4 linked regions of the Rhinolophus ferrumequinum genome follow. The protein of the gene in region 4 interacts with the protein of the main gene of each other region in a pairwise test. Links are inferred from orthologs where the notes say so. Each region holds a gene or a part of one and is shown on either strand. Other genes may lie near its edges. The genes, in order: HSF2, CRCT1, FABP3 and NUP62.

Region 1 (7,324 bases), on a different chromosome or scaffold from region 4:
TTGATCACTTGGAATATATTTCTATATTTGATGATGACAAAGGGGGTTTTATTTCACTTTTCATTTTTGTCATATAACAAGTTTCAAAGAAAACTAAAGTTATTTACGTCTTTAGGAATATTAAGCCAAGCTTTTCAAACTGCAGTTGGTAAGAGTTTTCTCCCCTTGCCTTACACTCAAGCTAGGGGAGTAAATTATTTTTCAAGTAAAAAAGTATACATATATTGCATACAGTATTGCCTGGTTTCCAAAACATCTGCCGCTTCTAAAAGGTCTTAATATGATTTTCACTTAGAAAGTATAAGTGCTAAATTACCTCAACAAAATTTCAGCAAGACCAGTTTGAAGGAAACCAGAAACCGCCACAAATAGCAAACTTTAAAGGATCAGCGTAACTTATTTTGTTTTTTTCCATCTAACATCGTTTAACTAAAGTTTTACCTTTCATTGTTAACACTGCTTCTGGAAAAATCTCTGGGTAAGAGAGACAGCTTCCCTAAGCCACTAAACAGCCCTAGACAACATTAATCCAGAACTGTCCACTGACTTGTGGAGGGGTAACATTTTGGTAACTAAATATTGTGCCAACCTATATTAAGTGTAGTGATGTTGGTGGACAACTGATCTAGGTCAGAAATCTGTTAGGTTTCCATCTCCAATAATGGCTAGCTTTGTAATTATTAAAACTCATCTGGCCTGTCTAAGCCTCAAATTCTCACCTATATAACGATGAAGCTAAACTAAGATGATCTGTAAGACTCTTTTCAAACATAAGTCTATCTTTATTATGCCTACCACTCTTCCATTACATATTTCAAGGATTTTACTGATTCATCAAACATTTATTAAGTACCTACTGTGTCCCTGGCATAGATACTGTTCCTGTTCTCACTTATATTTTAAATGTCCCGTTATGTATTAGAAAATGTGTAGTTAAGCTTCAACTTAATGGGATAAATAAAGAAAGACTTTTTAAGTGGTTTATTTGGCTTAGAATTCATTACGTATTTATGTATTAGTTTGAAACTCTCCATGTTTGATACTGCCCATAAGAATGTTATTAAAATATTTTGACTAATGAGAATTCATCAGACCTGACACCAACATAATACCCTTTAGTTAAAACCAATTACCAATATACTTAGTTACCATTTCTAGGCAATAAAAACAAAAAGGCCCATGCAAGCCAAAATGGTATAAAAGTCAGCTTGGGTGGGGGGGTACTCTCAGTACGATCTCCAACAGGAATACAAGACTGAGTAACAGCAGTCTGTGCTGATCCACCCTTGTCAACTTTTAATCCTTCTGACTGATGAGAAGCATGAGACATCTGTTTATTTTTAAGCATATGCGGATGGCTGCCTTCCCTATTTTCACCTTTGTAAAACTGTACAGAATTCATCAAATGCTTAATGTACACCATCCAGCTGATACCAACCTTCAAGAAAATTAAGTCCTAGAAGATAAAAAATGAACAAATGACAGTAATGTAAGACATAATATGGTGTTATAGTAGTCAAAACTTCATATACTCAATATAGTGCTCCCTGTTAAGACAAAAGTAAATAATAAAACTGAGAGTTCTTGTAACAGGAAAGGAACAGAAAAGAAATGGAGAAAGAAGGAAGATAACATTTACTCAAGATTTAACAGGTGCCAGACACTGTGCAGGTAGGTTTTTCTTATTCTTTTCCAAACCTTTTAACAAGAAAATATCCCAAACAGATCAGATGATGGTCTACCACAGGAGAAATCCACTCCCCTTCACAAAATGATTCCAAAAGCCTAAGAGTGCATTCTAACACAAATGCACTGTTTATGCAACAACAATCATTCCGCTCAGAATTTTAATATTTCGAAGTAGATGGGGTCTTAGATCATCTAGGCAACCCAATCATCTCATGGGTGATGAAACTTAGGCCAGACAAGAGAAGAGCTTATCCTGGTTTAGTGGCAGTGGGGATCAAACTAATAATCATGGCATCCATATACCTCTGCGGGCAACTGTTCCTGTGAAATTTAGTGATTCATTTTAGCTCCTCGCTAAGTTACTGAACACCTGTCTATTAACAGTTTTATTAAATTAATCTTAAAAATCCATTTATACAAATGGCTCAGAATCTCCAAAGAATAATGTACCATTTTCTACAATTTTAAAACCTACTGATAAGCAGTAACCTGCATTTGAACGTTTGCCTACTTCTCTGCTTGCCTCAGAAAGATCTCAGATGCAAAGAGGTGTGGGTGGGTGAGTGTGTGTGTGTGAGTGAGTGTGTGTTTAGTGACGATAATCGGGTCGTTGAGGGAGATTTCCTCTGTTAAACCCCGGCTTTGAAGATCCCGGCCCAGGGCTGCCTGTGCCCTCAGCAATTCGTAAACCGCGAGTCGGGCAGGAGGACGAAGGATGAGTGTGCAGTAACGTGGCTCCCGCGCCCTCGGCTCGACCGTCGCCCTCGCTCCGCCCGGCGGGTTCCGAACGCCGAACGAGCCGGACCGTTACGGGGCCTCCCGGACCGCGGCGCTCCGGGCGGGCCGCCCCTCCCCCACCGCGGCCTGGGCGAGCGGCGCCGGCCGGGACCCCCGCGGCTCCTCGCAGTTCCCTGCGTGAACAATACAAGGGGTTCTCCGCGACTCCGAATGCCGAGGACCGCGCCGCACCGCCACCCCATGGGCCTCGCACAGGGTGTCGAGCCACAGGCCGCAAGACACAACGCTACAGGAGAAAGCAAGAGACGCGGCGACAAGCCAGGGGGTTCGGAGGCCGCCGTACCCTGACCCGTACCTGGCTCCAGGTGATGAACTCGTTGGTGTGGGTTTCCTCCACAAGCGTCCAGAGCTTGCTGAGGAAAGCTGGCACGTTCGAACTCTGCTTCATTGTTAACGAGGCGCAGGGATTCCAAATTCTATAGCCGAACGCGGCGGTAGCGGCGGCGGCTGCAGCTGCTCCGGGAGAACGCCCACAACGCAGGCGCAGCGGTTCCCGGGCCCGCCCCCCAACCTCGCCAGGCGCTCCGCGAGGCGGGGAAGCCCCGAGGCCGCGCGTGATAGACAAGTCTCCGCGTTCGCCTGTGCTCACTGGTCCCGCGCGGGTCTCGTTCCCGGCCAATCCCGGGCGCCGACCCAGGACAGAGATAAGCGATTGGATGCTGCGGACGTGAAGGGGGTGGGAGCAGAACGGGGCGCTGCCTTCTCATTCGCCTTTTATACAAGAGCCTTCACTGTAGCGGACTTTTGGCCTAGGTTACTGTGTTTGGTTGTTTCACGTGGAAACAGTTTTGGGTTCCTGGGCTGTGGCTGAGAGTCTACAAAAAGTCCTCACAGGCCTGAGTCATATGTGTGGCGGGCAATGTGTGGTTTGCGCCAGTCAGCAGGAGGGAGTATAGTAATTCAGATGGGGGTGTGGGCTGGGTTTCAAGCATGATGTGCTAGGCCTCACATTGAAACTATCTTAGATATTAGGAAGCTTGACCTTAAATTTTAATTAGAAAATGGGCCCTTTAAAATACGTTTACCAAAAAGAGGAATTTAAATAACTCACTCTTTACTAAGCACGTACTGCTGTGAACCTGGATCTATAATAGGAGCCTTACATGGTGTTTTTAATTCAACAGACATTGAATGCCCATTATATGCTCAGCATAAAAAGAAATAGTCTTACTTACACTATTTTAATCAAGTAAAATAATTGTTCCCATATGAGCTTTACAGAGATATTGTTTGTGGAGACAGTTTGGTTATGGTGGAAAAAAATATTGGACAAGTAGCATATCTTTTAGACCCAGCTTTGAGGACACTTTAGTGGATATTAAATTTAACTGCTAACATGTAATTTAGAGCAATTCCTTAATCTGTCAGTGCCAGTCTTTTCCATTTCCTCATTGGGAATAGGAGTATCTCTCTTTTCACCCATGTAAGGTAATACTAACATAACAGGTGTGCAAATGCTTTGAAACTATAAAGAATTATAACAAGTCAGTGATGATAAAACTATACAAAACTTAACAAAAGATTGGCTTACTGGGAACATGTGAAATAATACATTAAAAAAATAAAATACCATTTCCAATGAGCAATGATTATTGAGTACTGACTTTTATGTTCAGCACTGGTCTGTTTGCTGAAGCAAAATCAGATGTATGGTGGCATACATCTGATAAAGAAACTAATATTTGATGAGCCCTTATATGTGCCCAGGATTTTATATGTATTATCTCATTTAATCCTCACAACAACCCTAGGAAGTAGGACTATTATCACATTTTTCCAATGAAGATTCTAAGGCTCAAAGTGAATTAATTTACCTACATCACAATTAGTAAATGAGAGAGGATACTTTACATCCAGGACTCTAAATGCTGTGCTCTTTCCATTGTATGATGATGGTACCATCTTGAAGCTTAATTTATATTCTAATTCAAGAAACAACATGAACACAATGATCAGCAATCATTAATATTTAAAAACTAAGAACTAAATTTATGGTATAAAACAAGTACTTGAAAAGTTTACAAAAACTTTAAGTGAGTTAAGGTGACTTTTAAGTGAGTTAAGTGAGTTTAAGTGAGTTAAGTGAATTAAGATGGTAAGGGAGGACTTCATGGAGGCTGGGACCTTAAGTTGGGTCTGGAGTACAAATACATTTGGATAGCTTAAAGGAAGACAACAGTGAGCAAAGATGGAGAGATTAACGAGCGTGGTCTGTCTATGAACAGCAGAGTTAAGGAGATAAGATTGGTAGTATATGAGGGAGAAATGTGGCCTCTTTTCATGACATTGTATTATTTCCATCTGAAAAAAGAAAAGGTGTGATTAGATACAAGCAGAAACTCCTCTTTGGACATTCAATCTGTACAGTTATAGGCCTGTGCTTAGTAGAACCCTTTACTTGGTTTAATGCTCTGCTCTCACCATCTCGAAATTCTTAATTTTTGAACAAGAGATCCTGCATTTTCATTTTGCACTGGCCCCTTAGATTATGTAACTGGTGTGCTTCCAGTGTATTAGATCTCATAGACCAATAGTTCTCAAAATTAAGCATGTATCCAAATCACTTGGAGGGGAAAGACTGTCAATATAACAAATGAACAAAAATCACTTATCAGGCAGTATTTGTAAAACTCATAAGGACAACTAAGGAGCTAAGTTATTAACCAGATATCTGGTGTTGGCCCAGCAAATAGATGATGTGTCTAAAATCACATGGCTGAAGTTGGAATTGAAACCATTTTGTCTTTTCTAGTCTGAAACATACGCTTTTTTTCCCTTTACGCCAGCGTGCCTCAAGCTTTAGCCTACACCAGAATCTCCTGGAGGGCTTCTGAAAAAACAGATTGCTGCTTCTCCCCCAACCCCACTCACAGGGTTCAGGCTAAGACTTTGTATTTTTAACAAGTTGCCAGGTGATACAGATGCTGCTGGTCCTGGGCCAACACTTTGAGAACTACTGTTATAGAGAAAAAGTTAGTAAACTAACCTTTCCTTGCAAACGTATACAGACTTTTTGTTACCCTTCGTCTCCTGACAAAATCCAGCCATTTCAGGAATAATTTACACTACTGTATTTTCTTTTTCTATGAACTTAATTCTTAATATTTATTGTAATTAATAAACTGTTTGAAAACTTTATTGACTAGAGACATTCTGAGGGAAGAGAAAATCAACGTTGGCTCATTTGCACTTATTTATAAAACCGAGCAGCAAACAAAACCAAGCTTTTTAATTCACAATTATTTGCCACCCACAATATCCCACAAATGTCAGAAGAAACAAATTTGAGCTAGTGTCAACAATTTTGAAATGTTTACAATATTAAAGGATACAAATGTCACTTTCTTAAAGTGAGTGGCCTCCTTCTGACTCCAAATAAAAATGTTGGAATATTTCCATGGCTCATTTGTAGCCTGCAGTGTAAGATTTAGAAAATTTAGAATAACATTAGAAAATATGAGTGACCCAGGCTTTGCCTAGGGAATAGAAAAGCATATTGTGGAGCACTTTGATGATTCAAAGCATCTGATTCAGACTGTACAAATTCTGTCTAACCAATTATGCAAAATTAGTTTGAATCAGCAGTAGAAACAGAACTTTTAAAGATTATTTTCAAGGATAACATTACTCAACTGTACTGAGGTTTCCACGTACATTCCTATCTGGACAAAGTGTTATTTTGTTCAATTTTGGAATGACCTAGGAAACGTGAGGCAAATCACTTGACACCTCCAAAGTAGGATCCCTCTGTATAAATGAAGTGAAAATACCTGCTATACTCACTTCACAGAGTGGTTTTGAGGTTCAGATGAATTGCTTCTTCCTCCAGTCCATCCTCACAATCTTTACAGGTATCTTTTAAAACACAAATCTGAAAAGGTCACTTCCTGACTTAAAACCATTTAGTGATTTCCCATAATTTTCAGGATAAATCCAAACCCCTTGAGGTTGCATAAAAGACCTTCTATGATCTGATGCTACCTACCATTCCAGTCACTGACCACAACGCTTCACAAACACAGTACCCTTAGCCAAACCTAATTGCATGTAGTTACCTTACTGGCCATGTTCTTTCATACTTCTAAATATTTCTGCAAGCTGTTGCCTCTGCCTGGAGAGCATTTCTTCCCCATTATCCTGTGAGTTCCTCCTTAACCTTCAAGGTCAAGTACAATTCCATATATATAAGTCGTCTTTTTTGTGACACTTTCACTGGAGACATTTATTACAGCCCTTATTGCATCATTTGTAATTATTGACTTTCATGTGTTTTTTTTTTCATATTAGACTATGAAACTCTACATAAGACTATGTCATATTTACATTTATTCTGACCTACAATGGCTATCACAGTGCCTGGTACACATTAGCCTCTCAATAAATATTTGTTGAATTAATCAACGAATACACGATCTTGAGGGCTAACCATCCATTTAGTCTTCCATGAGCATCAAATGTGGATTAGTTGTTTCTCCCATATGCTCCCATAGCATGTGGAATTTGACCTTCATGGTATTTGCCACACTGCTATTGCTCATTTACTTCTCGGAATCCCTCATTAGCCTGACAGATTGTGCTTGCAGCATTCACTCTTGTATCCTTAGCAGTAAACACAATGCTAATAAATAATACAGGAATGGCTTAATAAGTATATGTTGAACGAATAGTTTTAGTTTTTGAAGCCCTTTGGGTAAAATGTCCTCTATCTAGTAAGGAAACTCCTTACAATTTATTAAGTCTCAGTTCATATATACTTTTTAGGTAATAAGAGAAGAAAATGAAGACAAGGAGAGCTTAAGCATAGCTTAACTGAGAGGCAAGTGATTGAGGAGCTATC
Region 2 (7,091 bases), on a different chromosome or scaffold from region 4:
AGTGACCCTCTGGGACAAAAGCCAAAAAACGTCTCAGCTGCCTGTTTCCAAAGCCAGGTGCGGCAGATGCAAACCTTTGCGGCTCAGTTGCCTGGGCCCAGCGGGTAGGAGGGTGGGCAAGGCTCTGGAAGGTTTTGGGGGGACCCAGCGGAGCAGTTAGGAGCATAAGCCCTGGAGCTGGGTATCTGGTCTTCTCCATCACGTACCGGCTGAGTGACTGATCAAGTGATGCGTCCTCAGTTTCTCTTCTATACAGTGGGGATAACAGCCCTTACCTCACTGAGTCATCGTGAGAATGAAATGAGACGCCGCGTGTCACTGCAATCCTTAGAAGACTGCCTGGCTCCATAGGCGACTTCTGCTGTCGTGATGAAGTTCCAGAAAAGCACCCTTGTTCAAGCAGAGATTATTTCAGTTTCCTGCCTTTTGCAAATATGCCAAAGCTGGGCTGAGTGAGGAAGTGGAAGGGGTGGCAGAACACAACACACACACAGACGGAAAGCACAAACAGCCAGAGGGGTGTTCTCAGGAGGTAGCTTTATTATGACATGTCTTTAAAAGGCAATCAGATCAATAGGCTTTTACTGAACACCTACTACGTGCAAGCCCATGCAGACAGTAGAGTCCAGTGTCCCATCCAAGCAGGAAAATCACACAGGGGTCAGGGAGTTTTGCGGGCTGAGAACAGGCTGGGTTTCTGGACGTCCAAGTGCAGTTAGCTTGATGGGGGTCAAAGTCGGAGGCCCAGCCCTGAGCGCGAGCTTGGTGACCGGAGGAGGCAGAGACTGCAGGCCGGCCGGTGGCTGTCGCACGGCTCTTCGGGGCGGCGGGGGTCTCAGCAGCCGCCGCAGCAGCTGCCGCAGCAGCCTTGGCTCTGGGTGTTGCCGGAGCACTGCGACCTCTGGCTGCCGCCCCCGCAGCACCCGCTCCCGCTCCTGCGCTGCCGGCGGCGCCTCCTAGGGAAGCAGCAGCAACCGGTGGACACCGAGCCGCAGCAGCCGGAGTCCCCGCAGCAGCCGGAGTCCCCGCAGCAGCCACCGGAGTCGCCGCCGCAGCAGCCGCCGCCGCAGCAGGAGGACGAGGAAGAGGGAACCGGGGCGGGCACCGGGGCGGGCGCCGGGGCGGAGCCCTGGGAAGCGCCCTTGGGATAGCCCTTGGCCAAAGCCGCGCTTTGCTGGGAGGACATGGCGGGGTCGTCACCGTTAACCTGCAAGAAAGAAAAGCAGCCTTTCACACGCGAGGTCGACAGACGTTTCCTTTCCAACAGTGGAACTGGTGGCGCTTGAGATTTGGCTGTGTGAGCAAGACAGCCTGCCCGGTGCGAGGAAGAAAAGAGGGGGAGCAAAGAAACCAACCCCCGAAGAGGTGTTTCCAGGGCGTTACACGTGCACAGAGCGGGGAACAGTCTGTGCACAGTCAGTGCTTTCCTAATTTCTGGGGATAGAATAAGGAACACCCAAGTTCTCCACCGTGGAAAACAGCGAGGACACTGAAGCAATGTATCCCGTTTCCCAGAAAATAAGACCTAGACGGACCATCATCAGCTCTAATAATACATCTTGTGGAGCAAAAATTAATGTAAGATCAGGTCTATAATACATAAGATCCGGAATATAACATAACATAACATAACATAATATAATATAAGACGGGGTCTTATATTAATTTTTGCTGCAAAAGATGCATTAGAGCTGATGGTCTGGCTAGGCCTTATTTTCGGGGAAACACGGTAGCTGTAGGATCCCGTCCAAACTTCTCCTGGCTCTTCCCGTCTCCCATCTCATGTGGCCACAGACTTCCAAGTGACGGTCGCGTAGTTACTGGCCCGGCATGCATGCCCCGGCCGTCAGAAACTCCCCGATCAGCCTGCATCCCCGAAGCGGGTCTGAAGAATCCACAAAGGCCCGACGCATCTCTGTCTAGGTCTCCTCTGCCCTAGCCTCTCATTTACCACAACCACAGGAACAGGAGAGTGGCGCCCAAGGTGGAAATGCACCCCAGACTGGGGGGCCATGACCCGGGTCCTAGCCACAGCTCTGCTCCAGGCTTGCCCGGGAAGCCCCCCCAACCCATCTGGCCTCCGTGCCTTCACTGGTACCATGAGAGGCTGGCTCACCTGACGCTTAGTGCACATTCCAGGGCTCTCCGTCCAGCTGTGTCCTGCCTTCCCCTTTCCCCAGCCTCCTCCCCAGGCCCTGTGTAGAGACTCACCAGCCCCTGGCGCCACCAGAAGACACTCAGCTTTCCAACTGGACCGGGCCACCTGCTAGGCTGTGGACTGACCAGCTTCCAGCGAGAAAACCTTTTATAGATTCCATAGGTGCTGGACCTTGGGAGGAGCCTGTTTCCCAACAGACAGGCTCAGCTGACACTCACATCCCTGAGACGTTTGTCACTTAGGTAACACTGTAGGTGGTGCACGTGCACGTTGAACTCACTGCACAGAGGTGCCAGGATTGTTGTGGCATGTTTACTTTCCAAACAGGACACGGGTCATAGCTGGGAGGGCTGTGTGGGTGAAGACACAGCACGGAGACGCAGTGAGGAGAGGTCTGCGGCCCTTTCGCAGGACCTGTTGTGTTTGCCCTTTTTCACAGTGTACACACACTCATACACACATACACACACACACACACACACACACACACACACACACACACCGCTCCCGTTCACACATCCATCCCTGCGTGGTCATATCTTGGCCGTTCATCCACTCGGGGTCCTGGTTTGCGTGTCTCTGGTTCTGGGGCCTTGGATCCTCGAGTCAGGCCACACGCTAGTGAGGAGCCTGCTGGGTTTCATCCAGATGCTTCCAGATGGCACTGAATGAAGGCGACGGCAGGGATGTGGCTGTGGGAATCCCAGTGGCAGTGTCTCTCTGTCACTGGAAGCAGGAAGAAAAACCCAAGCAGTTATGGAGCCATTAAGACCAGAAAAGCTGTGAATGTAGTCATGCTACCACATCAAAGAGACAACTGTATGCAGGAGGCTGGTTCTGCGGCAATGCCAAGCCAGCCTGCGGCCTCTCTGCTCCTCAGCCCATCCCAAACTGCCTTTGAAGATAGGTTCTCCTTGGGGCCATTGCCAAATGGAAAGAGGGAGGGAAGGAAGGAAGGAAGGAAGGAAGGAAGGAAGGAAGGAAGGAAAGAAGGAAGGAAGGAAGGAAGGGGAGGGGGGAGAGGGGTAGAGAGAGAGAAAGAGAGAGAGAGAGAGAGAGAGAGAGAGAGAGAGAGAGGTCTTTCCCAAGGTTCCAAGTGTCCATGAGAAATGGTGTTTTAGAATAACTAACTTTTAAGACTTGGGAGAGACTTTGGAGGTCAACTGGCTTCATAACTGTTCCTTAATCAATGTACTTGCTCGCAACCATGAATGTGAGATCCAAGAAATCCAAGACTAAGAATTTGAGAGTTGATGGTGAGACGTAGGTTTGGGGGTGCGTGAGCTGGGGGTGGCACGAGGGAACAGACAAGGAACGGTAAGTCACAAAAGATACCAGTTTCATTTACCATGGCTTCAGAGCCTGATTAACAGGTTGCATGCACCAAGGGTCACCTGTTGGTGAGTACAGGTGAGACATTCCCAGAAGTGAGGTCAGTATTAGAGACGGAATGAAGTCACCAGCTGGGGACAGGCTCTTCTCTGGGAGGTGGTTTAGGCAAGTCTGTGCTCATTACGTGGACTTGGTCCTCATGTACCAGCTCATACACTAACTCACGTTACCCGTCACTGTTAACTCATACCAAAGGAAGGGCTAGTTGTTTACCTTGTACCAGGTCTGACAATTAAGCTCGCAAATTCATCCTACAAAAAGTGCTCCAGACCTCACTGCTGAATATCACTATGTCACCTTCAAAGTAGCCCCCTTGGGAGAAGCTGTGCACCGATGCCAGTGCCTAGTCCACCCCTCAAAGCAATTTTGGAATGGTTTTTCTGGAAAGGCCATCAGTGTATTTCCCTTAATGTCCTGAATGTCATCAAAATGCCTTCCTTTCAATATTTCCTTTATCTTCGGGTGAAGAAAGAAGTCATTGGGGGCTAGGTCAGGGAAGTAGGGAGGGTGTTCCACTACAGTTATTTGTTTACTGGCTAAAAACTCCCTCACAGATAGTGCCGTGTGAGCTGGTGCATTGTCGTGATGCAAGAGCCACGAATTGTTGGCGAAAAGATCAGGTCGTTTTCATCTAACTTTTTCATGCAGCCTTTTCAGCACTTCCAAATAATAAACTTGGTTAACTGTTTGTCCAGTTGGTACAAATTCATAATGAATAATCCCTCTGATGTCAAAAAGGTTAGCAACATCATTTTGACTCTTGATTTGGACTGACAGAACATTAGTGGTCTTGGAGAATGGCTGACGTCCATTGTGCACTTTGATGCTCTGTTTCAGGGTCGTATTGGTCGTATTCATTCATCACGAGTGAAAACATGGCCCAAAACATCACCTTGCCTCTCCCAAAGGTCTTGGCAATCTTCAACTCTCCTTTGTTTTTGTTCATCAATGAACTCCTTTGAGACCATTTTTGCACACACCTTTCTCATGCCAAGATTTTTAGTTAAGAGTTTCCTGTTTCTCTATCTATGTTTAGTTGGTCTGCTATGCTTCTCACAGTCACCCAGAGATTTTTGACACACTATTCGATGAATTTTTGCAATGTTTTCGTCAGCTCTGCTCTTTATTGGCTGCCCTGACCTCTCTTCATCAGTGACACGTCCTCTCCCCTCAGAAAAACATTTGTACACGGCCATTTTCATCATGGCATTAACCTCATAAACTTGGACTAACATGTCCCTGATTTCACTTCCACTTTTGCCAAGTTTAACAAGAAATGTAATGTTTGTTCATGGCTCTAATTCAAGCTCAGACATACTCCGGCACACAAAAGCGCAACAACAATAATGAACGCCACTCAGCAAAACACCGCCACACGTGGACACGGACACAGCTGTGAGACACTGATATACCAAGGTTATGAAACCTTCCCCGGCTGTTTGCACGGCGCTGCCAATGTAAGCGCACGGTGGCCAGTTCATGAACTTAATTATCATATCTCGTACATAAAAGGCTGCGTTGGAATTATCATTTCTATCGCAACCATTCTAAATATCTCCTGAGGAATCAGCCTGTGCCTAAAGGAAACAGAAAACTGGATACAGTCACCAGAGCTCCCCTGCTCTTCCCTCCTACCACTCTCCCCCCCACACACACACACACAAACCACATGGCGGAGGTTGTCCTTCTTGGTTCTCTACTCAGACCCAAACTCAGGCTTTCAGGAAAATGGGCTCAGACATTTCATCCCTGCTTCCTAAACTCACGAAACCCCCATCAGCTCTTCTCTAATCAACGGATGGAAGCACCTGGAAGTCAGAGAAATAAAGGGTGTCCATTCACTGGGGCCCAGAACCAACACTTTGGGTGGCCCTACTTCCCATAACCAGCAGACAGAGCCCTTTTTAACCCTCACCTTTGCTTGAAGGAAACCGTCCGGGAGTAGCTCATCTCAGTGTGACCCTTCTGGGTATCGCCATCCTTTCCGCCCCGAAAACCTGTCCCCAACTCTCGCCCTGCAAGACTTGTGTCAACGTGATGGTCTCAGACAGGACTCTCCCCTTCAACTTCACGTTCCCACATTCAATGCGCCAACGGGAGTATGTTTCCCAGCGGTCTAAGGGGCTTCACTGCCAAATTGCTTCCCAGACTGATTTTTAAAGGGTTCACGTGCACTTCAGAGAAGGGGCGGGGAGTGGGAGAGGTGGACATAACTTCACCAGGAGGCTGTGGCATCCGGGTGAGAAAGCTTTATTGTGGCAGAGAAAACAGCGGCCTAACTGCACTGCAACACCAGTCGCCAAAGAAGTGTGTCCGAGGGTAGAGTCAGGCGAAGACCCAGGTCAGCCCTCTGGCCCTCCTCACAGCGGAGGAACACGGGCGCAAGGAGACAGGAGCTGAGGCCACCATTCCCTGGGGAAGGAGGAGAAGCCACAGGGCTGGGTCGTGGGCACCTTGGCTCCTGTAAAGCGGCTCCTCGGTGCTACTCACGGCCACGTCAGCAGCAGCCGGAGCCCCCAGAACAACAGCTGGAGCCCCCAGAGCAGCAGCCAGAGCCCCCAGATTGGTTGCCGCCTCCACTGCCACAGCAGTCAGAGTAGTGGTGTCGGCGGCGCAGAGATCGGCGGGGCCTGTGGTGGCCCAGGCAGCAGCCCCCGCCCCCAGAGTTGGGGCAACAGCAGCCCCCACCCCCAGGCCCACAACCGGAAGAGACTGGAGGTGGGCAGGGGGCTGGGCACTGGGGGGGACATTTGGGAGGACACTTGGGTGGACATTTGGGGAGACTCTTGGGGGGACACTTGGGAGGGGGCTGGCACTGCTGCTGGTTCTGCTGGCAGGACATGTTGGCAGGAGCCGAATGAAGCCGAAAGACAATACAGAAGTTTTAAGTTCAACTAACTCGACACAACGCCCTTGCATTCAACAGTGAAATGTGAATTCACAAGATTTCATTTTTATGATGATCATATTTTTCAAACTCAGTCTCGCAAAATCAGTTACAAGAAACAGGCCAAAGGTTTCCGCCCAGGAACTCCAGTAACTTCAAGTGCAGCTTCCAAAAGACACCGATTCTGCTTCCCCGCCTTCCACCCTCCCCTTGCAGCACAGCCCGCCCTCCATGTCCTCCCTTCTTGTCTTTTCTCAATACTGTCCTCCGCCCAGGGCTTCACTCTGCCCCAAATGCCAGCACCAAGAGTCCCTGCAGGTCCTCGAGATGGGCTTTACCTGCTTCAGGGACTGGAGCAGGACACCCAGGAGGCAGGTGAACTGAGCTGTCAGAAGCTCCTGCCTTTTATACAGACCCAGCCCTGAGCTGGCATCAGTAGGTGCTGAGAGCTTCTTTCCCAAGGGCCCCGGGTGACTACCCTCCCCTCACATCCAAGGACCAGATTCCTCCCCCCATAAGCATGACAAGCACTAAGGCACAGAGAGAATTGCAGGCCTGTGGTGGTGATGGAGCTTGGAGGATTACACTCACACACACACACACACACACACACACACACACACACGCCTGCCAATCTCACAGGCAGCTCTGCTA
Region 3 (7,779 bases), on a different chromosome or scaffold from region 4:
TTTGCCATCATTTGTTCTCTCAGACCCACAGTATCTAGAACTCTTAGGGAACAAGGAAGCGATTTCCTAGTGGCAGAAAGAACACTCCATTCCACCCACTGTGGCCGCAATCCCCCTGCATTGTGAGCTCAGGGAGGTGTGGATGGAAAAGAGAAAGTAATTTCACAGGGGATCTGATCATAAATTCCTAGCTGGGCAGGTTCTGGCAGTAGTCACACCCCAGGCATAGAACTGCTTTCGTAAAAGCCTTGTCTTTACCTTAAGCAAGCCCTGTCCATCGTCTCTATGCATCTAGGTTAACACCCCTTTGAAATGTCTCTTTTCAGACCCCTCCTTCTAAAGCATGAGCACCTTCAAGAGGGCACATAATCTTAACTGTCCTGTAATTCGATCCCTGCCTTGCTCTCTTCCATCTTCTTGTAATCTTCCTTAACCTCAAGTGCACAGAAGAAACTGCAAACTATTATCCTTGGCAGCATTTACCTCACTCTGTTGAGTTCTTGCTTCCAGGTGTATCTTTAATTAGGCTCCAATAAATTTTGGCAAAAATTCTCTACCGGTTTGGACATTTCTTACCTTAACAGAGGGCAAAAGTGGTGCCTCTCCTATTTACCCTGGATCCCCACTGAGCCCCAGCACAGTGCTTGGACACAGGAGGTGTTCGACTAAGAGTGGTAGAATGGACGAATTATTTAAAGAGAAAGGGAGAGATGAGGACACCTCTCTGCAGTCTCTGAAGGCTCTGGATGACCTTAGTGAGAAGGAGATAATACCTGCATGCTTTTCTATTGGTTCAAGGTCTCAAAGAGCCTTGATTCACTCTTGATCACCTCTGGGACAACTGCCCTGGGAGGAAATCCAAAAGGGAGAAGGGAGGTGGGGGCTGGGCACCATTCACTGAATATCAGTGTTAGGCTTTCCATATGTTATCTCTTTTCATCCTCATGACAGCCCTGAGAAGTAGATGGCCTTCCTCCATCTGGGAGGAAAGGAGACTCAGAAGGGGGAAGGGACTTGCTCAGGTCTCTAGCTAGTTAAGTGGCAGGCTTGGGATTTAGAGCCAGATACTGCTTTTGAATACCCCATGCACCAAGGGAGAGATTGAAGGATGTGGAGAAACCTAACGATTCTGAAGGGAACCAAAGTTTTGCTACTCTGAAGCTTCCATTTTGGGATATTGATTTTAAGTTGTTTATTACGAAACAAGACTCAGAAAGAACCTTTGACCCTCCCCCCTTTCCTCCCTGAGAGATTCAAGTGGAAAGGCCTACTCCAGAAAGGGATTCTGAGGATGGCTGCCTTAGCCTAACTTGAATTAAGTGTGGTAAATAAGAGGGCTTCAGGCAGAGGCCTGTTAGCTAGATGCCCCTGTGTCCGAGTTGCCTAGCAATAATTTGCCTCCAATGTGTGATGTGTGATGATCCCCTCTTCTTCAACTACCTATAAATCACGCGTTCTCACTTCTGAAATGGAACACCCCAGGCCCCTTCTTTTCTCCTTTCTACAAAAATGTCTTACATCCCCAATGTTGCCTCACTGTCTTTGGAATTTTCAAACTGATGTGAATTCCCCATGCGTATATGTTAATGTTTTATTTTCTCCTGTTAATCTGTCTGTGTTCATTTGGTTCTTGGCCCAGCTAGAAGAACTTAGGCAGTGGAAGGAAAAGTATCAATCTTTGTTTAGCCCCCACAATTCCATGGCAGACAGAGACCGAGCGCCACACCACCATTACCAGACAAAGAGAACATTTCCCAGTTGCAGGTAGTGGGGTGGGGTGGAGGCAGTCAGCATCTACAGAATGAGGCCGTCAAGGGGCAAAGGAAGGGGGTCGCTGTGTCCCTGGATCAGTGGAGCCTCCTGCTCAGCATCTTTGGCCCGTGCCTCTCGCATCGCTCCCTGTGCCAGCAGCACATCCCCCAATGGAGGTGTCCAGATGGGAGGGAGGATCCAGGGAACAGCTGAAGATGCTGAGTAGGCCTCCCTCCCCTCCCTCCCTATGGCCCCATGGATCACGCGGGGCTGCCAGCCCATCTCATTGGCTCTCTCCTGGTTACTCATCTCTCCTCTTCTCCATCTTTCCAGCCTGTGGTTGTCATGGAAACAGAGAACAGTGACATCAGCATAGGGTGAGGGCTGGTGAGATGCTGCTCTTCGCAGGGACTGGGCCTGCTGCCTACCAGATGTTATATCCACATCTGGATTGCCAAGATCAAGAAAGGGGGACAGGACAAGGAAAAGGGCTTACATTCCTTCCCCTTCCCAAATGTAGTGAGTATAACAGGCAAGGAGGATGCAGGTAATCGGAGGGAGGAGGGAGAGGATGAGAAGCAGGTGGAAAAGCGTAAGGTGTGGCATAGGAGTCAACTTTGGTGCCTCAGGACTGAGCTGCGGTGGGGAGATGGTCGTAGGGCAGTGAGAACAGCAGGTCTCGGGTTTGTCTGGAGTTCCTCAAAGCACCACGCTGCTTAACACAGGCAGGGCCCAAGAGAGCAAGCAAAATGACTTTCTGGCAGCATCCCCCTCAACCCCTCCCATAGATCTCTATAGCCCCTTCCTCACGGCTGCAGCAGTTTCTAACTCTGTCTCAAAAATACGAAAATTGAGGATTAGAGAAGCAAAGCAATCTGCCTTGGGAGGCCCAGCAGGTGATGAGCAGAGCTCAGACCAGGTGTTGGGAGTCCTGCATTCTCCACTGAGATTATAACAGCAGCAGCAGCAGAAGAGAACATTTATTAAGCATACCATGCTCAGCATTTTCAATGCATCATCTCATTTGATCCCCAAACACCTCTATGGGGTAAATGCTATTTATCATTACCTCCATTTTTAAGATGAAACTGAGACTTAGAGTGCCTTAAGTGAATTGCCCATGGCCACATAGCTAGAACTCAATGGTATGAGAATTAGAACACAGATTTATCTGCCAGCAGCTGTTAGCCCAACCCCAGATCTCCATCACTGCGTTATAAGGACTACGGAGAGAGAGAGCTCTTGTCCCTGGGTCTCTAGCCACTCAGTGCTTGAGCGAGGACGCTGTGTGTCTAAAGGCTGTGACCTTGAGTTAGAAACCATCCCACTCCCCTCCTTGCCCCCCCTCTACCCCCCCACACACACTTGCTCTGGCAGTGAAGTCACCAGGGCTCCATGCCAAGCCCTGAGGCCTGTCCCTGAAGCTTTGGCAGAAATAGGCCTCTCAGTCTTCTGGCAAGTGAATCTGTCCAAAATAATCAGGACCTTGGGGGAGAGAGGGCTCTTCCTCCCTGGCCTCCTTCCCAGAAAGTGAGGGGAAGGAAGGTAGGAGCCTATGTTCTCCACTTCCACGTGGGGAAACAAAGGCCCAGGAAGGAGGGTCCACCACGCTGTATATGGCAGAGCTGGCAGGAGCCCAGGGCTACTAGGCCTGCAGCTCCTGCATATCCCCCTGGGTGAACCTCTGCTGGTTGAAGTTCAGTTGGGAATTTGCTTATCCCTCACTTCCTCCAGGAAGTCTCCCCTGAACCCCAAATCAGGACAGGCCTCCCTTTACAGTCACCATGCTAGTTTTGTATCTGCCTACCCAAAGGTGAGCTGTGTGAGTGTGTGTCTTATTACGGTTGTCTCTCCAGAGCCTAGCCCTGGGCCTGGCACAAAGTAGGTGCTTTAATGAATGGTTAAGAAATGAATGGTTCCTCTACGCTTCAGTTTGCTTATCTGTAAAACCGGGATAATAACAACACCTACCTCACGGACTTTGTTAAAAAGTCCTATGAGACCCTCAGCACGCAATAAACATCAATACGAGGTGTGTCTTATCAACAGAGCTTTGTAAACTAGAACGTGCAGAAAAACCACTGGGTAGTTTCTTCAAAGGAGGCGACTGACCGCTTGCTTGTGGGCAGAGGTCAGAGAAAGGACAGCAGGTGAGGGCTGTAGCAGTCCGGCAGGTAGGGGACAGAATTTCTGAAGGAGGACAAGCGAACCGATCACAGCAAATGCCAGAGCTGTGCACAGAGGTCAGAAAAGCCTGGAGCCTTGACAGGGTGGATGGGCAGTTGGACTGCTGGGTGGAAAGGCACATGCGGGAGACATTCCGCAGGGAGGGGAGAGCACGTGTGGAGCGGGCAGGGCCTGAAAGGATAATGCTTTCGCCCCCAGCAGGTACAGGGGCAGCTCTGCTGCCCATGGAGTCCCTAGTGACTCTCCCCGCCACCGAGCAGTGGGGCGTGGCGGGAGAGCGCAGATTCTGGTGCCAACTAGACCAGGCTTGCAATCTGGGCTCCAATTCACCCTTTCATTTACTGTGACCTTGTCAGTTCCCCTGTTGGTCTGCTCACCTGCAAAATGAGGACCAAGATGCCTGCGCCGCGAAGAGTAAGCCAGAGCTTTCCCGGCGTGGGCATCAGCCCAAGGGCGAGTTTCTTTTCTCCTCCAGTCTCTCATCTCTGCTCTAACTCCAAAATCAGGGAGGGACTGGGGGGATGGAAGACGTCTGCGGTATGCGCCCCAGCTCGCGGGCATCGTGCCCCCAGCTGCTTCCTTCTCAGATTCCAAAGAGCGCCTTGAGGCCAGGGAGGGAGCCGGTCTTGCCAGCCCGGGATAGGGGCTCGGAGGCCCGGCATCCGCGCTGACGCAGGCGAGCAGAACGCCACTGGCTGCCCCCTCCGCTTCGGCGGGCTGGGGGATGGGCGGCCAACCCCTGGAGGGTAAGAGCCAGCCCGGGGCTTCCTATTTCGGGAGCGGGGGTGTGGGCCACGCCTCATCACGTGATGCCAGGGCTATTTAAAGCGGTAGCGCGGGCTAGGAGCTGCGGGTCCTGGAGTCCCTTCCACACCAGCTTTGTCGCTTCTTCTTTCTCAGCGTAGCCCAGCCTCACCATGGTGGACGCCTTCGTGGGCACCTGGAAGCTAGTGGACAGCAAGAATTTCGATGACTACATGAAGTCAATCGGTGAGCGGGATGCTGGTCTGGGGAGGGGTTGGCCACGTGTCCAGACCGGCGCAGCGCTCCCTCCCTGGCTGGTACCCTGCTCGCCTGCTGCGTCCCTCCTGGCCAAGGTTGGGGGGTAAGGTTGGGCGGAAAAGGTGGCAGCCTGGCCTAGGGCATGTGAGGCGTGACGGGAGGGGGCTTTCACCGTCTGAAGCTGGTGAGAGGGATTGCCAGGTAGGAAGGCGCAAGGAGGCAGATGTGCTGGTGGATTTGGGGGTAGAAAGGTGCTTTTGAGGAAGAAAGGTATATGATCTGGAGGTAGGGATAGGGTCTGCATAAAAAGAGAGCACTGACTGAAGACGGTGGGATGCTAGCCAAGGGAGGAAAAGAATAGGAGCATAGGTGGTTTAGGAATTGGAGATGTGAACAGAGAAAGGGAAAGGGGTGACCAGGGAGTATACTGTGGCCTACAGAAGTAGGAAATTTCCAGGAGGAGGGAGATGGAAGAGTGGGGAAGGGCAGTGATGGGATAGGAAAAGGAGGTGGGATAGGGGCCTGCATAGTTAGCAACAATCCCTGCCCCTCCATGCTGGGTAGGGAAAAGGATTTCCCCTGGAGGATTCCTTCTTTCTCACCAGCCAGTCTCTGACCTTGTCCCGCGGTGGTGTGTAACCTGGCTTTAATCACTGCCAGTGAGCCTAGTGGTAGGGTGAGGCAAGAAGTCCCCAAATCACCTAGAACCCAAGGCTCAAGCACTTGTTGGGGACGGGTATGATGGAGAAAGCCACTGGACTTCCCGAGTGCAGCAAAGGGTCCTGGAGCAAGGCCATGACCTGTTAAAGGCAGGGCGGGTCTCTGGTCTAAAAGGGTGTGGTGTTGGGATGCACAAAGGTAAAAATTCAAAGAATCTTACCGGTGAGGTCCTTGGAAACCCCTATACCTTGCCTAGTTCAACAGATGGGGAAACTGAGACACAGAGAAAGTAGAAACGTCATAAAAATTCCACAGCAGAGATGAAACCCTAGATTTCTAGATCTGCAACCCAGATCAGCTCCCATATAGCCCCTAGGTTTGGGAGTGGTTGGAACTCCTTAGCTAAGGACTGACCTCACCCCTTCCCCTCCTAGTATGTGCTTAGATGGAGAGGGTGATAACTGTGTTTCCCGGAAAATAAGCCTCAGTTAAGATCTCAACCAGATGGATGCATTTAGTACGCTATGACAATGTTCCAGAAGATGACATGACTGACTGTAATTGGATAAATGTAGATTGTTGTACATGAAAAAAATAAGACATCCCCTGAAAATAAGCCCTAATGGAGCAAAAATTAATATAAGACCTGGTCTTATTTTCGGGACAACACGATACCCTTTCCTGAAATCCCCGGCTATGAGATTATCCTAGTTCCCCAGGCTGGGACAGGGAAAACTGGAATGTTGGTCATGGTGGAGTTACGTTCCCTGCCTTAGTCCCAGGGAATGCTGGCTGGATTACATCAGATACCCGAGGGGGAGGGGCACTCCAGACACCGCTCACTTCTGTTCCTAACCACAAGTGTTGGCCCTGGAGGCCCCAAAGCCCCTACCTTGTACTGGGTACTACACCTGGACTCCAGGAAGGCAGCCATTCTTGGAGAAGCAGGGGGCCCTGGGCAGCTGTTGGGAAAGTTGGGGTGCCCAGGGTTAGCTCCTCCTCCCAAGCCTCCCACAGCAGACATTCAAGCTGAAGACCTGGGTCCCTGAAGTATGCTGCAACGTGCTTACCACCATTGCCCCCCCTTGGGCTAGGGGGCTAAGAGTCCATCCAACTTGCTTCTCTTGTACAAACTGAAAGGCTGAGGCCCATAGGGAGAAAAGGCCCTCCTCAGCTCTCTCAGTAAATAGCTCGTGTCATTTCTAAGAACTCAGCTCTTCCTAAATCCTCTAAATTCTGTCAGCCCAGTTTCAGTCTCGGTCCCTCCCTCACTCCACAGGTTTCCTTCCTCAAACACTCCATCCCTCCAGGTGGGTCCGATGCAAACAGAACTCCTTGTGCAGTGGCAAGGCCCAGGAGTGGAACTGGCCTCATCCTGACAGTAGGGGGCGAGGCCAAGTCCCTCACTGGCCAGGCAGGGTGGGCCAGCCGCGGCACAGCTGCAGAGGCTGCCTGTGCCCCTCGTTTTAGACCAAAAGTTCTCAGGGGGCAATGAGGCTCAGCCTCGGTCAGTAATTGCAGGCACATGTCACAGGAAGCCGAATGGCCCAGGAAGAGTAGTGAACAGTTCTGGAGCCTAGATTCAAATCTAGGTCAATCACTTACTCTTTGATTTTTGGGCAAGTCACTTCACTCTCTGAGCCTCGTTTGTAAATTGGGGGTATTAAAACCTACCGTTCATGGCTATTATGAGCATTTAAGTACAATAACCCATGGAGGGCATGGGTTAAGTACCTAGCTGCCAACAAGCACTGTGTAGCCAATCACATCTGGGGACTTGACACACACCACCTCACCCCACTGGGCTGCTCCAGCCTCGCCTCTGCCCTGGAGGACAGGTCAGCATAGGCTGCTGGGGGCAGAGGGGCGGGGAAGCTATGATGGGAGGTAAGATGCAAAAAATCGCAGGGACACACCTTAGACTTTGCTTACGAGCTCTTTGTTTTGTACTCTCTTGCAGGACACTTAGGGTTTTACCCAAAACCCAGGGAAGCCATGCTTGGGTCAGGAAGGGAGCCCCCACTGGGCCTTAGACTAGGAACCAGCAGACCTGGATTCGAGTTCTGACTGCACTACCACTTTAGGCCTCTCCTAAATCTGTACACTGAGACAGACATGCCTTCCGCCTACCTCCCAGATCTGGGATAAGAGGCTTTGAAGATGTTTTGTTGCCCTATA
Region 4 (7,597 bases):
CAGGCTTAAAATTGCAAGTCCTCATATGTAACAAAAGGCTACAGGCTAAGCTATCAAGGGTGAACAAGAATTAAACTCATTCCCCTGGTTTATGGAATTACAAGTGTCAAACAAAAACAAATTGCGGGAGGATGGGAAGCATGAAGTTTATTCTGGAGTGATGGCGGAACTGTTTTTAACTAGATAGAGGTGGTGGCTGCACAACACTACGAAAGTACTAATGTCAGTGAGTTGCTCACTTTAAAAATGGTTCTTCATCCAAAACCTAACAGTACCTTCCTTTTGCATTAACTGAAATAATGTCAACTGCTTAAAATACTGTCTGGCATCAGTTGGTTAGATCGTGGTGCTAATAACACCAAGGTTGCCAGTTCGATCCCCACACGTGCCACTGAGTTGTGCCCTCCTTAAAAAAAAAAAAAATAGTGCCTGCCACATAGTTGAGCCCTCAACAGATAGATGTAGGGGACCATCCCCACTATGGCTACCAGGCCATCTCCCACTTACCTCCCAAATACCCCTGGGAGGCTTTCATCAACAAGGGGCTCCTCCACATGGGGTACCCCACAACTCTTGTTGCAGCTGTCCAGCCCGTTTTGTTTGCGTGTCACCCGTTTTGGTGTGTGATGAGGGCCATGGGGCGCTGGCACCTTTAGCTATCCTTTGTTTTGCTATCTATGTAAGTAATTAAGGGTCTGAATCTAAAAGTGGGTCTTGCATCATTACCAGTTCAATCAGTCCCATCGTGACCTGGGCCGTGTACCAAGTGTTGTGTGCTTGACCATAAGTACTATCTGTTATTTCTATTGTCATTGTCTTTGGCTTACAACTGCCCTCTCCCAACTTCTTCTCTCAAAGACAAGACGCTCAGACCAGAAGTTATTTATTTTATTTCCACCACAACCCCCAAAAGGATCGCTCCCGCCCTCTCTCACCTAGATGCAGCCCCTGCCCCAACACCTTCACAAAACACTGATTTCCTCCCAGAGCTAAAGTGAACACCCACTCACCAACTATGGCCACACCCACTCTGCCCAGCTCCCCATCTGCCTCCAGAGCCACCAGCTCTTCAAACTTGCCTACCTTTTGGCTCCCTGCCCAAATGTAGTTTCCCAAGGTCAGCTCGCTTGCTTGTTCTGCTTATGTTATTATATGGGTGCCATTCTTAAAACCCTCTCTGACTTATTCCCTAGACGGCTCTCCTGTGCTCATTTACAGTCATTCTGCACAGCTTTCTGGCCTCACAGCCCCGTTCGAGAGCTGGTTTCCAAGCTCTCCCCTGCTCCCTGAACTCCCGGGGGCCTCAGTCTCTCAGCTGTCACTTGAAAAGTGTAGGTGTTGACTAAGGCCAAATGATCCATGATTCTGAGGAGAAGGGGAGCAACATGGACAAGAAATGGACAAGAAAGGAGACAAGGATAAAAGGAGAGAGAGAGAGAAGGGGGGGCTTTGGAAAGAAGCTAGAGGCAGAGGGATGATGGGGGGACCCTCCCATCTCAGCCCCAGAAACAGAAGTGAGCCAGAGCCGGAGACCAGTGCCCCCTACCGCCCGAAGCCCTGCCTGTCTCCTAGCTCTTGCGGGTCCTCTGGCTTCGAGCCTTGTACACTTCGATGAGCAGGTCCTTGACATATTGGATCTCCCGCTCCACAGACTCAGCCCTCTCCCTCAGCTCCCGGTTCCGTGCCTCCAGCCCCTGACACTCGCCCTCCAGGGCCTCACCCTCTGCCCGCTTCCTCTGTCTGTACCTCAAAGCAGCTGACTTGTTCTGGTCTCTCTTCTTTTGCTTGCGGTCCCCTCGAGTGATGGCAGGACTGGGGTAGGGGGCTGGGCGAGAGGTTTGAGGTAGAGGAGGGCGCTGCTGTGGTGGGGGCATGGGAGCCAAACCCGAATCCCCCTGCCCAGCCTCACTGCGGCAGTAGATGGCCAGCAAGTCTAGGGTGTCCAGGGCAGGGGGCTGGTGGAGGTCAAAGGTGGGGGGTAGGGGGACAGGGAGGGAGGGTGCCGCTTGTGGTGGTGGCTGTGGTGGTGGGGAGGATGGTGGGAGGAGTGGGGCATCAAGGAAGAAGTCTTCCATCTGCTCCAGCTCCTTCTTGAGGAGCGAGGCCATGGCTTCCAGGTCAGGGGAGGGTGGGGAAGGTGGGGGAAGGGCACCTGAGGGTAAGGGGGGCTCCAGAGGGAGAAGGGCTGTAAAGTCCACCCGTTCAGTCATCCAATCAGAGAAGCCATCACCTGGAGGATTGGAGGAAGACAACCAATGAACCAGTCAAACGTCTAACCAGTCAACTAACCAACCAACCAACTAACCAGTCAACCAACCAACAACCAGTGGACCAGCCAACCAATCAACTATCTGATTCAGTAACCAACCAATCAACCCTTTTCACCGACCAATCAATGAACTAGTCAACCAACCAATGACCAAAACAAAACAGTCAACCAACCATTTCTTCAACCATTCCAACATTCTCTTTACTGAGTAACCCACATCTGTGATTTGATTTACTTTCTAGTTTCTTCTTAAAACACAAACTCGATCACACATACACAATACACCCTGTTTCACCTTTAATTAATTATTGAAAACCCACTATATGACAAGCATTGGGGACACACTAAAGGAATAAAATAATCCGTCTCAGGGCTTCTGCATATGCTATTTTCTCCACCTAAACAGTTCTTCCCTTGGGTCTTTTCATAGCTCATTCCTTCCCATCCTTTAGGCTTCAGCCAAAACATTACCTACTTGGAGAGGGTTTCCTGGCTATGGACTTTAAACTAGGTCCACAATGTCATTTTGTAGCTAGAGTGTGAGCTCCAGGAGGGCAGGGATGTCAGTCTTGTTCCCAGCTATATCCCCGGCACCTAAAATAGTGCCTGGCATATTACAGGTGCTTAATAATTATTTATCAAATGAATGTATGAATGAATAAATTCTCCCTCCTTCTGTCTTGTGCCCCACACCACAGCTCCACACCACCTCCATTCTTCACCTGTCCTTACCTGCCAGGGGCTCTCCCCCCCCTGGAAGCCCGCCCTCCAGGGCTCCCCCAAGGACCTCATAGGGGCCCAGGGGGGCAGGGGCCAGGGGGAGTTTCCCATAGTCTAGGAGCCAGCTCAGCCCGCTAGCTGGGAGCAGGGCCCTGTCCAGCTCCAGCCCCAGGGTGGCCAGGAGTGACATGGCTGCAGCACAGGCGCTGGGAACCAATGGCAATGAAGGAAGCTGCACCAACAAGTGAAAGGAGGCTCTGGAGGTCGCTCAGTTGGCCGAAGACAGGCACCAAGGTGAAAGTGGAGGACCTACACGTGTGAGACAAAAGTGGGCAGGGTCATAGGCGAACCTCACTCACCGCCAAAGTCGCAGGGAAACCAAGTTCTACTCCCACATCCCGGGGGGCAGGGGGCGCTGAGGGGGGGGACCCCTCCCTTTCCCTTCCAACTGGGTTGGGACTATGCCTCGCCCTCAGAATTCTAAATCTGCCCTTTCCCCAAATCTGAGCCCCACCCACTCCCAAGGGGATTCTCTTTAGGCCCGACTTTATTTTCTTCAAAATTCCCGACCCAATCCTCCAATACAGAAACATAATGGTTTCCCAAGGGAATTATCTTAAGCCCTTCCCACCCACCCCATAATATTCCTTCAGTAAAAAAAACTCAGTCCCAGGGGAATTTTCTTCCAGCCACACTCCTTTCTCTAAAATACTTCCTTTAGGCCCCACCCCCTCCCTAGGTCCCATCTCAAATCAGTTCCCAGGGGAATTCGCCCTGCCCCACCCCTTCACCAATGTTATCTATTCAAATCCTGCAGGGACTACCGTTATTCCGCCCCCCAGCCCCGCCCCACTATCTTAGCTGCACCCCTCCCCCGCAGGCCCCTATTATTTCTCCAATCGAAACCCCACCCCTCATCTAACGGTTCGCTTAGCCCCGCCCCTTCGCATAATACTCTCCCTAGCCTTATCGTTCGTCAAGGCTGAGATCCTAGCTCCACCCCCTTGTCTTTACGCTCTGCCTTCTACCCAGTCAGTGTAAACTAGCACCCGCCCCAGCAGATGCCTGAATGAAAGGGAGAGACGCTATGCTGCGCGCCTAAGCGATGTGGAGCAGGCGACTAAGCAACGTGGACCAGGGAAGGTGGAGGTGGCCAGCAGAGAACAGCTCTCTACGCCAACCTTCCACACTTGGCTCTCTCGCCGAGGGCCAAATTTGGCGCAGCTCCACCACCAGAACGGTCCCATTGTTCTCACGTCTACGCGGGGGGGCGTCAGTGCGCATGTGCAGCCGCCTACTGCCAGCCCTTCGCACAATATGGGCTCTGGTGGGCTGACGCGCATGAGCAACAGCGCGAAGACAGACTCGTTCCGGAAGAAGGAAAAAAAAAACTCTCTGAGGGCTGGTGCGCAGGCGCAACCGTACGCAGGCCATCTATAAACGCCAACGCAAGAAAAAGACACCCTCCCCCACCATCGGGCCGAGTACGCATGCTCGGCCGCGCGCCCATGCTGGTTTTCCCTCTTCTGCGCCTGCGCGACCGTGATCCCTCACTTTCGTCTCCCCAACCTCCAAGCCTGGTGGTGAGGGCCGCGAGCTTCGAAACGGCGGGAAAGGCGGTTGGAGAGGGAGGGGTGAACGGTTACTCACTCCATGGCTGTGGAAAGGAGAGGCAGCGGCGGCCTCGGCTGAATAAAGAAGGCAGGAGCGAAGAGCGCAGGCGCGGTGAGCGCGGAGACGGGCGGGGGGCACGGAGGGTTCGCAGCTACAGAGCCATGGCCGGGGCTTCGCGGGCAAAGGCGGCTTCGCCGTAGTGTGAGGAGAGATCGTGATCTGAGGATGGGGAATGTGGTGGCCCCGGGGAGTGGGAACAGATATATCTCGGGCGGCGCAGCACGGGACCGCCCGGATCCTTCCGCGCCCCGCCTCCGCGCGGTCCAACCCGGAGGCGGGCCTGGCCCCCTCCTCTTGGGCATCCGGCCCCCTCCTCCTTTCGACCCCTGGGGTTTGGCCCTCCCTTCCCGGTGGCTCTACGGTTCATCCCCCTTCTGCTGGCTCTGGCCCTCCTGCTCTCTCGATCCTAGGCCTGATTTCCTCCTCCCTGAGACCCTCACTGGTGAATTTCTCATTTCCTTTCCCCTGCTTCATGAATTTCCGGCCGGCCACACGCTCATCTCTGCTTTCCCCAACTGCCTGCTCACGCTGAGAACGCTTTTTGTGGGTTAGAGTCCCGCGAGTCCCAGCCTAAGCTCCATTCTAATCACATACCTGCCATGCTGGTCTTGGGCAAATAACTTCTCTAGCCTCATAGATAGGGAACTATCTATAATATTAGAATAACCAACTCTACCTAATGGGGTTATTTGTGAGAATTAAGGAAGTCGATGCCTGTGAAGACCTAAGCACAAAGACCCGCTTATACGTGTCTGTTCAACCTATTTTATTATTAATAGGAACTCGGGGGCCCCAGTCTCACACCCCCACACACGCACTCCCCGCAAAAGCCTCAGACACTTGACCATCCAGTACCAGCTAACAGGTCGTTCTTTTGTCTCCGTTCCTCCAAGGTGTCAATTTCCAGCCATCCCCACCCTCCCCCATTCCAAGTAATGGCCGCTCAGCCCCATCCTGGTGTAGGGGTGCAGAGAATCTGGCATCATCGCCCCCACTCCATCCTTTTCTCCCTCCCCTGCCCACCTTCCCTCAATCCTTGGCCGCAGCATTCCTTTCAGGCCAGTTGTTTCATTCTTCTGGCCCTGCCCCTCTCCCTGACTTCCTGAGACGCCCCCCAGTGGATCAGTCTCCCAACCCTGCCAAGAATGGGGGGACTTCCACTTCCATTTACTAAAAGAGAGCGAGCTTCCTGGCCATCTCCTCCCTGTGCGCTGGGTCCTCTGCCAGCCCAAATGGGTGTGGGTCTTTTCTCTGCTGCAGAAACCTGTCTTTCCCACCCTGCATCCATCCACGTCAAGACATTACCCTGGAGTTCAACCTTCATCACTTCTGTGGCAGTTATGAGACTGAAGCAAGATCCAGAGAAGGTGGGGGAACCCTGATCTTGAGAGTTACGTGGGCAGTAAAGAGAAGCGGGCTTCTGCCTTCCCCCTGGTTGCATGCAGGAAGTCCTTGGCATCTGAGCGCTTTGCCTTAGGGCACTTACCGTCCTCTCTGCCAGTATTTGAGCACTTGCCCTATATTTCCTCGAGTCTGTAGAGGCTCCATTATTACCTAGGCAGCACAGAGTAGTGGTTAAGACATAGATTCTGGAGCCCCGTTATTTAGGTTCAAACCCTGACGCACCGCACTTACTAGCCTTGTGGTACTGGCAGTTTCCCTTAGAAAGAAGAGGCCATTAATGGTACCTGCTTTTTAGGGCTGTTATGAGGATTAAATGAGTTAATCCAGGTCAAGCGCTTAGACTAGTGCCTGGCACACACGAGGTGCTATACACATAAGGGGTGGTGATGGTGGTGGTTACTGAGGTGGGATATATTTTATCTCCACTGCTAAGCAGTTAGTGCTTTAAAACTGTGATTGGTCTTCCACCTTTTAAGTGGAACTTCAGGACCGATCTCTTCCTACTTGTCAGTATAGAGATTTGAGCAAGACCAGGCAGGGTTAGGGTAGACGATTGGACAGACTGCTGGTAGTCGGATGGCACAGGCGCGCGCGTGCGCACACACACACACACAGTTTTTCTGAGAAGACCTTCTAGGTTATGTGTGGGAAGTAGGTAGAGTTGTTTTTTTTTAAATAAACTATTTGGGAATAATTCTAGGTTTACAGAAAAATTGCAAAAAAGATAGTGTACAGTTTCCATATACTCCTCACCTAATTTTTTCCATTGTTTTCATCTTACGTTACTGTGATACACTTGTCATAGCTGAAAAACCAACATCTCATCTGTACACGTCTATTAACTAAACTTCAACTTTATTCTGATTTCACTGGTTGTTCCCTATAGTCCTTTTTTGTTCCAGGATCCTGTCCAGGTTGCCATATGACATTTGTCATTGTGTCTCCTGATCTGCAGTCGTTTCTCTGACTTTCCTTGTCTTTTATGATCTTGACAGTTTTGAGGAGTGCTGGTCAGATATTCTATGGAATATCCCTCAGTTTGGTTTTGTCTCAGAGACTGGGACTATCGGTTTTTGAGGGGACGGTCAGGTAGGGTATTTTTTAATAACCAGAAAGGAGCTTGCTCAGTATGGGAGTCGTGCTGCGGCTGTGTGAGGTGTATGCCGACTGAGAAGGCCGTGGGGCAGGGATCCTGGTTCCCTGTCCCAGCCCCCGTACCGCCTTCTCTCTCTAGCTGTCCTATTCCACCCAGTTCAACTCTGATGCCAACTGCCCCACCCAAGCAGCTTGACTCAGACCTGCTGGGTGGGGGCCAGTTCTCCAGACTCAGCTCTCTAGCCCTTCCTGGCATATTCTAATTTATGGGCGGTGGGTCATCAGTGGCTGCCTGTGAGCCTGAGCCCTCGCTCATGCCCACCCCTGACCCGGACCTGTGGCCCCTCCAGGACTCAAACGCCTCAGCCTCCCCCACCTTCGCAGAGTAACCCAGCCTTTCCTTTCCAACTCGAGCTGGGGCTGGAAGCGTGGGTG

Evidence for each region.
Region 1: the proteins of NUP62 (region 4) and HSF2 interact in binary tests that used the Homo sapiens proteins (3 or more experiments, as listed by UniProt). The link is inferred for Rhinolophus ferrumequinum from reciprocal best matches to the Homo sapiens genes NUP62 and HSF2.
Region 2: the proteins of NUP62 (region 4) and CRCT1 interact in binary tests that used the Homo sapiens proteins (3 or more experiments, as listed by UniProt). The two-hybrid records come from large-scale screens. The link is inferred for Rhinolophus ferrumequinum from reciprocal best matches to the Homo sapiens genes NUP62 and CRCT1.
Region 3: the proteins of NUP62 (region 4) and FABP3 interact in binary tests that used the Homo sapiens proteins (3 or more experiments, as listed by UniProt). The two-hybrid records come from large-scale screens. The link is inferred for Rhinolophus ferrumequinum from reciprocal best matches to the Homo sapiens genes NUP62 and FABP3.

Annotation. Positions count from the first base shown.
Region 1 is NC_046286.1:71,759,414-71,766,737, reverse strand, and holds the start of HSF2 (heat shock factor protein 2), read right to left. Parts: upstream 3,008-7,324; 5' UTR 2,876-3,007; coding exon 2,783-2,875; intron 1-2,782. UniProt on the Homo sapiens protein: DNA-binding protein that specifically binds heat shock promoter elements (HSE) and activates transcription. In higher eukaryotes, HSF is unable to bind to the HSE unless the cells are heat shocked.
Region 2 is NC_046305.1:52,054,996-52,062,086, reverse strand, and holds CRCT1 (cysteine-rich C-terminal protein 1), read right to left. Parts: upstream 2,366-7,091; 5' UTR 2,212-2,365; intron 1,208-2,211; 5' UTR 1,187-1,207; coding exon 836-1,186; 3' UTR 521-835; downstream 1-520.
Region 3 is NC_046292.1:21,496,560-21,504,338, reverse strand, and holds the start of FABP3 (fatty acid-binding protein, heart), read left to right. Parts: upstream 1-4,766; 5' UTR 4,767-4,856; coding exon 4,857-4,929; intron 4,930-7,779. Other genes in the region: SERINC2 (serine incorporator 2), read right to left, coding at 4,317-4,382. UniProt on the Homo sapiens protein: FABPs are thought to play a role in the intracellular transport of long-chain fatty acids and their acyl-CoA esters.
Region 4 is NC_046298.1:44,951,441-44,959,037, reverse strand, and holds the start of NUP62 (nuclear pore glycoprotein p62), read left to right. Parts: upstream 1-4,579; 5' UTR 4,580-4,714; exon of another isoform or gene 4,715-4,776; intron 4,777-7,597. Other genes in the region: ATF5 (cyclic AMP-dependent transcription factor ATF-5), read right to left, coding at 1,569-2,230, 3,002-3,179. UniProt on the Homo sapiens protein: Essential component of the nuclear pore complex. The N-terminal is probably involved in nucleocytoplasmic transport.